Macaca fascicularis: one gene and its partners. The protein of the gene in region 3 interacts with the protein of the main gene of each other region in a biochemical or structural test. Links are inferred from orthologs where the notes say so. Each region holds a gene or a part of one and is shown on either strand. Other genes may lie near its edges.

What was found.
Region 1: the proteins of GTF2B (region 3) and CREBBP form a complex in vitro, tested with the Homo sapiens proteins (2 studies listed by BioGRID). The link is inferred for Macaca fascicularis from reciprocal best matches to the Homo sapiens genes GTF2B and CREBBP.
Region 2: the proteins of GTF2B (region 3) and GTF2F2 form a complex in vitro, tested with the Homo sapiens proteins (2 studies listed by BioGRID and IntAct). The link is inferred for Macaca fascicularis from reciprocal best matches to the Homo sapiens genes GTF2B and GTF2F2.

Annotation. Positions count from the first base shown.
Region 1 is NC_088394.1:4,558,343-4,561,995, forward strand, and holds part of CREBBP (CREB-binding protein), read right to left. Parts: intron 2,517-3,653; coding exon 2,399-2,516; intron 1,904-2,398; coding exon 1,732-1,903; intron 1,379-1,731; coding exon 1,334-1,378; intron 1-1,333. UniProt on the Homo sapiens protein: Acetylates histones, giving a specific tag for transcriptional activation. Mediates acetylation of histone H3 at 'Lys-18' and 'Lys-27' (H3K18ac and H3K27ac, respectively).
Region 2 is NC_088391.1:24,532,757-24,535,689, forward strand, and holds the end of GTF2F2 (general transcription factor IIF subunit 2), read left to right. Parts: intron 1-1,749; coding exon 1,750-1,869; 3' UTR 1,870-2,418; downstream 2,419-2,933. UniProt on the Homo sapiens protein: TFIIF is a general transcription initiation factor that binds to RNA polymerase II and helps to recruit it to the initiation complex in collaboration with TFIIB.
Region 3 is NC_088375.1:145,803,457-145,807,209, reverse strand, and holds the start of GTF2B (transcription initiation factor IIB), read right to left. Parts: upstream 2,671-3,753; 5' UTR 2,603-2,670; coding exon of another isoform or gene 2,586-2,602; 5' UTR 2,483-2,585; coding exon 2,325-2,482; intron 2,321-2,324; exon of another isoform or gene 2,103-2,320; intron 1-2,102. UniProt on the Homo sapiens protein: General transcription factor that plays a role in transcription initiation by RNA polymerase II (Pol II). Involved in the pre-initiation complex (PIC) formation and Pol II recruitment at promoter DNA.

The DNA of each region.
Region 1 (3,653 bases), on a different chromosome or scaffold from region 3:
TCTTCTGGATAATGTCACCACCTTGTTTCACAATCTGGAAAAATGTCCTCCTGCTTGGGTCTCAATAGTCAAGAGCTACAGGGTTTTCAAATGCTCCCTGCCCCGAAATAAAAATCACTGCTTCAATCAACCAAAAACCATAGGCTCTCTACTTAAGAAACTTTCAAGGTTGTTGAGACAGCTGCTGCCACCCCAACCTGGCACAGGACCTGTGTGTACACACTCTCCAGAAGTTGACATCCAGCCAGCTGGGCTTAACCCCTAGGGCCAGGAGCAGCCCGTGCCGTCCCCATGTCAGCCTGTGCAAGTGCTCAGCAGTCTAGGAGTGTCTTGCATGCCTCTCCTTCTCAGCACTGAGAAGCACTCCCTCCCCACATCTAGAGTGCTTCTTTCTCAGACTCTTCCTAAGACTAATGTACCATGCCCCTTCACCATCCATTAAAAAAATAAAAAGCTGGGCTGGGCGCAGTGGCTCACAACTGCAATCCCAGCACTTTGGGAGGCTGAGGCAGGCAGATCACAAGGTCAGGAGATCGAGACCATCCTGGCTAACACAGTGAAACCCCGTCTCTACTAAAAATACAAAAAATTAGCCGGACGTGGTAGTGGGCACCTATAGTTGTAGCTACTTGGGAGGCTGAGGCAGGAAAATAGCGTGAACCCAGGAGGCAGAGCTTGCAGTGAGCCGAGATTGCACCACTGCACTCCAGCCTGGGCAACAGAGTGAGACTCTGTCTCAAAACAAATAAGTAAAATAAAATAAAATAAAATAAAATTTAAAAAAAGCTAAGGCTGGGTGCAGGGGCTCTCATGCCTGTAATCCCAGCACTTTGGGAGGCTGAGGCAGGTGGATCACAAGGTCAGGAGATCAAGACCATCCTGTCTAACACAGTGAAACCCCATCTCTATTAAAAATACAAAAAATTAGCCGGGCATGGTGGCCGGTGCCTGTAGTCCCAGCTGCTGGGGAGGCTAAGGCAGGAGAATGGTGTGAACCCAGGAGGCAGGGCTTGCAGTGATCCAAGATCACGTCACTGCACTCCAGCCTGGGCCACAGAGCGAGACTCCACCTCAAAAAAATAAAAATAAAAATAAAATAAAATAAATAGCTAAAAACTGCTTCTTATTTCTTGAAAGATCTTTCCTATAATCTCCAAATTTCATACTATAAACAGATCCATACTACCTGTAGAACAATTCTGCTCATCAGCAAAAAGGAATGGAAAGAAGAAAGGACTAGAAAGAAATACACAGGGGGAGAGGAAAAAAACAGTGAAAGTTATGGCTGTTGAATGTTAAACTAAAATATGATTCACAGCAAATAGTTCAATACCTTGAGAAACTTGCATGCGATTCACTGGCAGGGACAGAGGTCCATCTATGGCGGCAAAACAAAAACAAAAACAAAACCACCCTAGTTATTTAATATAATCCTTGATTCAGGAATAGGAAATGTCTTATTAGGACTTCAAACTTAAAAGGGAAAACAGCCAATAGGTCCAAAGGCACGTGTGTTCCAATGCCAGCGGACCCTGTAAAGGGCCTTCCCAAGAGAGAAACTCAGTGTCCCAACACAGCCTGAGGCAGGTGGTCAGGGCCACTGCCACATCAACAGTTTCCGCAGTGCACGCATCAGAGATTCTAATTCTCTGTTCTTAGAAATACACCCCAAACACGAAGGAAAACCAAGGAAACAGGCTAAGGGATGGCAGAAGGAAATAAAATGCTTACTTGGAGGTCTCACAGGTTGTGCCTGTGGAATCACAGGGGGCTGAGTCCCCGGGGCTGGTAAGGCTGGCTGGTTCCCCAAGATGCCTTGTTTATGTAAACGCGACCTCCGTTTTTCTTCTAGTTCTTTTTGTATCTTGTAGATTTTCTCTGCTAATAAGTGATAATATTCATCCTAAAAAGCAACAATATTCAATATGAAACAGTTAAAACTGTAAAAAGCAACTGAATGATCTGTGTTGTAGGTTCCAACTAATGAACTTCTTCATTGAGTACACTGGCAAAAGTAAGTATGCAAATAAATACTTGATGCACCAGGAGCTTTATAGGACATATCAAATAATAGGTACTAAATACACGGCCCACTTCATACCAATGAACTTTTGAATATTCACTGATGCTAGCAATATTACACCCACCACCTACTGTGAAAAATATATCCCATGGACATAATGTAAATTTATATATTCCATGTACCAATGTAACTAACCAAGAGAGTTCTGCAGGAAATTTGTGTCTTATCTGGGAAGTCTCTTTGGCCAGTGGCCTCAAGGTGAGGAGTTTCTCCCAACTACACAGATTCCACAATTTCTAGATAACAAAGCAGACAAATGCAGTGCTGTCTACTACAGATGCTGTAGAGGCCAGAGCACGATAAGCAGCAACCTACCCTGCTGTTGGCAGACTCGTACATGTCCCCTTCCACTTTCTTAGCATAGGCTACCAGGTTTTCCATGCGGCGATCCTTTAGAGCTGCGGGATCAGGTGTTGGGAAGATGGCTTGGACGCTGAAAGGATAACACATCAAACTACTTTTTTTTCCTTTCTTCTTTTTTTAAAGACATGGGGTTTTGGCCAGGCACGCTGGCTCATGCTTGTAATCCCAGCCCTTTGGGAGGCTGAGGCAGGAGAATCACCTGAGGTCAGGAGTTTGAGATCAGCCTGGCTAACATGGTGAAATCTTGTCTCTACTAAAAATACAAAAATTAGCTGGGCCTCGTGGTGGGTGCCTGTAATCTCAGCTATTCGGGAGGCTGAGGCAAGAGAATTGCTTGAACCCGGGAGGCAGATGTTGCAGTGAGCTGAGTGCCATTGCACTCCAGCCTGGGCAATAGATAGAGCGAGACTCCGTCTCAAAAAAAAAAAAAAAAAAAAAGACACGGGGTCTCGCTCTGTCACCCAACCTGGAGTACAGTGGCATGATCATAGCTCACTGCAACCTTGAACTCCTGGGCTCAAGTGATCTTCCCACCTCAGCCTCTCAATTAAGGAGGGAGGTACAGGTGCACACTACCATGCCTGGTTAATTTTTAAATTTTCTGTACAGATGGAGTTTTGTTATGTTGCCCCAGCTGGCCTGAACTCCTGGGCTCAAGCAATCCTCCCGCCTCAGCCTCCCAAAGCACTGGGATTACAGGTGGGGGCTGCTGCACCTGGCCTGAAGCTACTCCCAATGCTGTCAAATGAGCACTACAAAATCAGGATCATGTATCTCTGGTGGCAATACACTGTGGAGAGAAATGCCAAGCCTCTCTTGCCCAGCATATCAATATATGAATGAAGTAACTCCCTGGAGACAATCCTGACTTACCAACTTATCTACACATCAAACACATCAATATTTTGCTATTAACAAGTATGTGCTGGGTCATTTCCAGAATAACACGATTTTTAAATCCCTGATTTTTAAACTACTTACTACTAAAAAAATTTGATCAAAATAAGGAATGGAAAAAACTCAGGGAATATAAGTCTAGTTCATTTAAAATAACTAGCTCAACAAAGTTAGGCTTCGTGTGGTGGCTCATGCCACCCAGCACTTTGGGAGGCCGAGGCAAGAGGATTACTTGAGGCCAGGAGTTTGAGACCAGCCTGGACAACATGGCAAGACTCTGTCTCTAAGAAAGAAAGAAAGAAAAAAAAAA
Region 2 (2,933 bases), on a different chromosome or scaffold from region 3:
GTTTGAGACCAGCCTGGCCAACATGGTGAAACCCCATCTCTACTAAAAATACAAAAAATTAGCTGGGTATGGTGGCGTGCACCTGTAATCTCAGCTACTCAGGTGGCTGAGGCAGGAGAATCGCTTGAACCCAGGAGGCAAAAGATTGCATTGAGCCGAGATCATGCCACTGCACTCCAGCCTGGGCAATAAGAGCAAAACTCCGTCTCAAAATAATAGTAATTATTATTATTATCTTTCTTCTCTGAGAAGGAAATTTTGTAATTTATATTGGTCAGCTTATTGTGGAATGCTTTTTGGCCTTCAGCATTGGCAAGCAAAGGTGGAGTTTCGTATTACACTTAAATAGCCATCATTTCCATGACCATAGTAATCGCTTAGTAAATGTTTATTGAATTTTTAGGGACCTAAAACACCATACTACAGACTGTTTTCTTTGGAGAAGCCAAACACAAAGCTGCATCCCTGATAGTTTTGGGGGATGTCTTATCACTTTTTTTTTTAGACAGAGTTTCGTTCTTATTGCCCAGGCTGGAGTGCAATGGCACAATCTCGGCTCACTGCAATTTCTGGGTTCAAGCGATTCTCCTGCCTCAGCCTCTCTAGTAGCTGGGATTACAGGTCCCTACCACCATGCCTGGCTAATTTTTGTATTTTTAGTAGAGACGAGATTTCACCATGGTGGCCAGGCTGGTCCCGAACTCCTGACTTTAGGTGATCCGCCCACCTCGGCCTCCCAAAGTGTTGGGATTACAGGCGTGAGCCACCAAGCCCAGCCTTATTATCACTTCTTATTCCCTTATCTGTGTTGGCAAGCTTGGATAAAGTACAAATAGAAGTAAATACAAATAACAGTTCTCCTTCTTGCATAGGAAAAAATAAGTGGGTGGCCTAATAACAAATTTGAGAACTCATCTGAGAACTGAGAATTCTGGATACCTGTCATATGCTTTCTTGATAGAATATTCTCAAAAATGTTACTCATTTTTTATATATGTTACTGCTCCTGAAACTACTGGTTTCAGTCTGTAAACTGAGTCCATTGAACTCAAGGGCAGATTACACTTGGTGTACTGTGTCACATTGAGTGAGGACCAGTAATTTTTTTTTTTTTTTTTTTTTTGAGACGGAGTCTCGCTCTGTCGCCCAGGCTGGAGTGCAGTGGCCGGGTCTCAGCTCACTGCAAGCTCCGCCTCCCGGGTTCACGCCATTCTCCTGCCTCAGCCTCCGGAGTAGCTGGGACTACAGGCACCCGCCACCTCGCCCAGCTAGTTTTTTGTATTTTTAGTAGAGACGGGGTTTCACCATGTTAGCCAGGATGGTCTCGATCTCCTGACCTTGTGATCCGCCCGTCTCGGCCTCCCAAAGTGCTGGGATTACAGGCTTGAGCCACCGCGCCCGGCCAGGACCAGTAATTTTTTCGTGTATTTCATCTGTGTTTTTTGTGGGGTTTTTTGTTGTCGTTGTTGTTTATTTTAGCTTTTAAGTTGTTGGCATTCAGGACTTTCAACCCCTTTAATGCACATGATCGTATATTTAGTGCAGTTTTTTAGTGCGTTTAGTGCAGTTATCATCGCACATGTAGAATCAAAAGGCAGTTTATTGAACCTCCTTATAGAGAAATCTTGCTGAGCTTTTAGGATCATACTTTTTATGACTTGCATATGTGTTTCGGCATATCACCTTATTTTAAGTTTTGTTCCCTGCCTTTATAATCTCATTTGTTAAGGGGTTTTGTTTTTGTTTTAGGTGTACCTGAAGGAAATCTTAAAAGAAATTGGTGTTCAGAATGTAAAAGGGATCCACAAAAACACATGGGAGCTGAAGCCAGAGTACAGACACTATCAAGGAGAAGAAAAGAGTGACTGAGAAGCCTCCTCGTCAGCATGCTAGTGAAACAGCTAGCGGCGATGCTGTGCTATAGGCGCTGATACTGGAAGGCTTGAACACCGTATGTTAATAATGGTTAAGTGACAATACTTTCATTTCTCTCGGTAAATTTTTTAAACCTGTAATTCTTGTAAAGTTTCTTAACTGTTTTTTTGAGGAGAAAGAACAAATTTATTTATAGACTTAACTTGTATTAAACCAGATTACTCACAATAGGAACAGGGGTTGGAGGATTAAGAGGGTTTTTCTTAAATATTAGCTTTTAATGTGTACAATTAGGAAATGTTTTTTAAATGAGGACTCTCTACCCTTGCTGGATCTGAGGAGCTGAGGTAATACAGATCCAAGGAGAATTGTATAGCAAGAAAAAAAGTCAACTACAGAAACTCTTAAAAGGAATAAAAAGCCAAAGTTCCTTATTTTGAAATTGTCAAAGAACAAAGCGGTGTTTTTCTTTTAAACAGGTGATCATGTTTCGTGTTCATACTCAACGTTAATAAAAGGAGAGCATTTAAGTTTGTAGTGAAATGGCAGTGTTCATGATTAGCTTGTTTTACCGTAGTGATACTGAGGTGAGAAACGTGCAGAATCATGGTCAATTGATGTTTCTTTTGTTTGCTTTTAAGATAGTTAAAAGTAAAGTATCTTTCCAAAATTTCAAGATATGTCTCCCCCAGTCAGATTATAAACTTCTCAAAACTGGCTTGCCCCCAGAATTTTATTGCTCACCCAGCAGACATGTATTGACCAATACATGGCAAATGACACCAGCAAATCAAAAGAGGGATGTAGGGGTCCAGTGGAGACAGAAAAGGTTAGTTTCAGTTCCTGGGGCATTAAAATATTGCTTTTCTCTTTCTCTTCAATTAATTTTTTAATGAAAACAATACATGTATATGTTAGTTTTTTCTAGCACAAATTATTATATATTAAGCAATCCAAAATCATACCATCAAGACCATCAAACAAAACAAAGAAGCTTAAGTAAACTAAGCACAGGGAAAAGTTGTTTTTCACTCATTCATTTTGTCAGCTGCTCCTGG
Region 3 (3,753 bases):
TCAAAGCAGGCAAAACAAATTGATGGTGTTAGAAATCAGGATGCGGTTTTCTCAAGGGAGGGGGAATGACTGAGGACAGAGACTTTGCTAGTGTCTTAGCTAGTGCTAGTGGTATCTGATTTCCTTACCTGGGTAGTAGCTATGTATGTGCTCACTTTGTGACTGAGCTGCCCACTTTTAAAATCTGCGTGCTAATGTCATTAAAAAAAGGTAAAAGCAAGGTAGTGAATGGAGTTTAAATCAGGTCACTTTTGGGGAGAAGAGAGGTTAGAACTATTTGTATACACTTGTTAAATCATAAGCACGAGGAAAACACCAAAAGACTAGTAACTATGGCTGATCTGGGGAGACTTGAGAGACTACTTTTCATGGTTTTAGTCTATTGTAATTTTGCTTTTGGACCATTTGTATGTGTTACCTATCAAAATAAAAGTATGCTAAATTGGTAAACTTTTAACCAAATTACCCACAATACAAAAGAGGAACCATACAAATGGGGTGGCGCAGGTGGTAACAGAGAGAAACAATGGGGAGGAATAGGGAAACCACCACCACTGACATTAAAACATCTAAAGTACCAGATAATCCCAAACCCCATTTTAGAGCTATCATTTATTGGGTATGCACTGTATTGCTGGTGTTACACATTTATTATTGTCAATCTCCACAGCAATCCTGCAAGAAAGGCCTATTTCCCATTTTAAAAGATTATGCTCACAGAATGATTTGCCTGAAGTCATGGAACTAGTAAGTGGCGAAGCTTACATTTGAACTCAAAATATGTGTATTCTTCTGTGAGGTCACCAGCCAGTTTCACGGCCTAGCAACAATACATCTTCCTGAGGGAAAAACATGCAAAAGATAGAAATAATATATTTAGGCTGGGCATAGTGGCTCATACCTGTTACCACAGCACTTTGGCAGGCCAAAGTCGGAGGACTGTTTGGGCCCAGGAGTTCGGGCCCAGCCTGGGCAATGTAACTAGGCCTTGTCTCTACAAAAATAAAAAGTAATAAAATTAAAAAATAAAAAAATTAGCCAGGCACACTAAAAAAATTAGTGTGCACCTATGGTCCCAGCTACTCAGGAGGCTGAGGTGGGAGGATCACCTGAACTGGGGAGGTCATGGCTGCAGTGAGCCATGATTGTGCCACTTGCACTTCAGCCCAGGCCTGTTCCAAAAAAATAAAAATTCTACATTTAACTTTGTCACTGATAGAAAAACTTGAGCAATAACTGCCATGATACATAAATTGCACATATCTAGAAAAAAATTCAGACTTAAAAAGCCATGACAGAATTTAAGTCATATTTGAGTGATTTGGGGAGCCAAAGTTTTCCATTTACCTACAAGGAGGCCTCACCTGACAGACCACCACCCAGACAGAATGACTGAGCATCCAATCCAAGAATCAGAATCAGTAAACAAGAGTGTCACTGGCTTTATGAGTTCTGTTCAAACAGTACATTAGCTAAAGCGCATCCCACCCCAAATTCTTTTCTTCTAACCATAAAATGTAAGTCTTGGCAGTTACCAGAAAAGGCTATTTTGTAAAAATGGCTTTCACTGTGAAATTAACCAATTTCACAGCTGATAGGGTCAGAAAAATGGTGCCAGAGTTCCAGAACCTGTAGAATTAATTTGATACTTTTAACACAGCATTAGTTAACCAAAGGCCAGGTGTGGATAACAAGAAACAGGTTATCTTAGACTCTACACTCTAACACTATCCTTGGAAAAGTCAACATTGGCATGACTCAGTTTACACTTACGCAAAAATACTAATATCTACCTCATAGTGGTAATGAGAGATATAATTAGGGTCTGCAAGCATTTTTCAGGTCACAAGATTAAAGGCTGTCTCTGAGGGTACTGCATGCATTTCCTGTAGATATGAGTACATTGCATTTTTAAATATATACTGAAGAGCAACCTCCCAGCACACATAACTAAATTTCTTATGCAAGATTTTCTTCAGAAGGACACAGGCAACAATATTTGTAAACAAATCCTTTAGCATGGAACTAATCAACTCTTCCGATGGCTCTAACTTCCACTTTCGAGGCCCGCTGTGATGGTAACCTGGTTCCATCTGGCTTACCAATGCTGACGTTCCCAACTTCCTAGCTGTCAGATCGATAGGGACCCGGAACCAACTATTTCCCGTTCCTTTGAAAAGGAGAAATTACGGACCTCGGGTTGTTTGGGCCGTAGACGAAAACAACAAGCTGGGGGAGGGGCGGAGGTAGAAGGAGAAGAAAATAAAGGGAGGTTGAAATATTCAGAAAAGACGAGGACAAGGGCTAGGGACACAGAAGCCCACCAGGACCCACAAAGAGTGATGTCTACATGAGAAGACGACATAAGACTCCGAAGCAATAACGTCAACAGCTGGGTAACCCCTCCGACACCCTGACAGTCCTGCCGTCTGGAAGTGCCTTTGTCCCGGCCGGTCGGCCAGTCCCGCCGCTTCTCTCCCATACCCCTCGGTGCTTAGTCCGACTAGGCTGCCCGGAGGCCGCCTGAAAGCCCGCGGCGCTCGCGCCCGCCCCTCAGCTCGCCGGGCTGGGCCGGACATACTAACCGGCTGGTAGACGCCATCTTCAGGGCCACTGCGGTGCCCGCAACAAGCCACAACAGATCCGCCGAAAACAGGAAACGAGTGTGGCGAAGAGACGCGCAGAGATGAGTTTTTATAGACGACTCACCCACGCAGTCGTAACAGAGCGGGGCTACGGGTCGGGAGAAGGGCCAAGAACAGTGAGATCCCATACGTCACGCGCTTTGAGATTTCTTACGTTTTTACTCCGTTTCTGTAATTTGCTATGTTGCTAAGCGAGTCAACGTAACTGCCTAGGAAGAGTCTCATGGGAACCCTGCAAATGGGCTACAACAGAGCTACTCTCAATCTGACAGAGTTAAAACACGAAGAAAACCCTGGCTTCGTAGTGGTGCCAAAGCCTGCATCCCTAAAAGTCTAACCACCCCTTCCTCTCCCACCTTCTCACCGCCACCCCCCGGCCCCAGTACCCCACCCGGCTTCAGGCACTCCCATTTGAGCCGGTTCTTATGTGCCCCAAGGGTGATTCTTTCTAAGGAATTCAAAATAAAAAGAGAAATTCACTTAGGTCATCCAGAACAGGTGTCTCTTCAGGCTCTGTCATCAACTAGCATGTTATCTTCTTAGGCACGTCGTTTTGATACAGGGTATGTAGGTTTATATAGGTTATAGTATCTTGCCTTGCATACCCTTTTAGAATTGGCAGGAGATGAAACAAAATTACGTGAGACCAATGTGTGCATGAGAGGCACGACGATATGGGTCATACTCTGATCATTTTTTTTTTCATGGCCTTTGCAAATTTGGCTGATAGCTACGTATAGAAAACTTGGCAGAACATCTAGATAATGCAAAATATCCCTAGATTTATTAGCCAAATTAACGTCAAAATAGTAATCCCACTACTACTAACAACAATAACACTGGTGGAGGGTGTTCAGGTTCTTGACGTTTTGAACAAAGAACTGGACAAAACGCACAAAGCAAGGAACGAATGAAGCAACAAAGGCAGATTTATTGAAAACGAAAGTACACGCCACAGAGCGGCAGCGACCAGGGCAGAGGAGCTCAAGACTACCTTTACAGAATTTTCTGGGGTTTGAATACCCTCTAGAGGTTTCCCATCGGTTACTTGGTGTACACCCTATGTAAATGAAGTAGTGACTCCACAATCAGTCTGATTGGTTGTGAA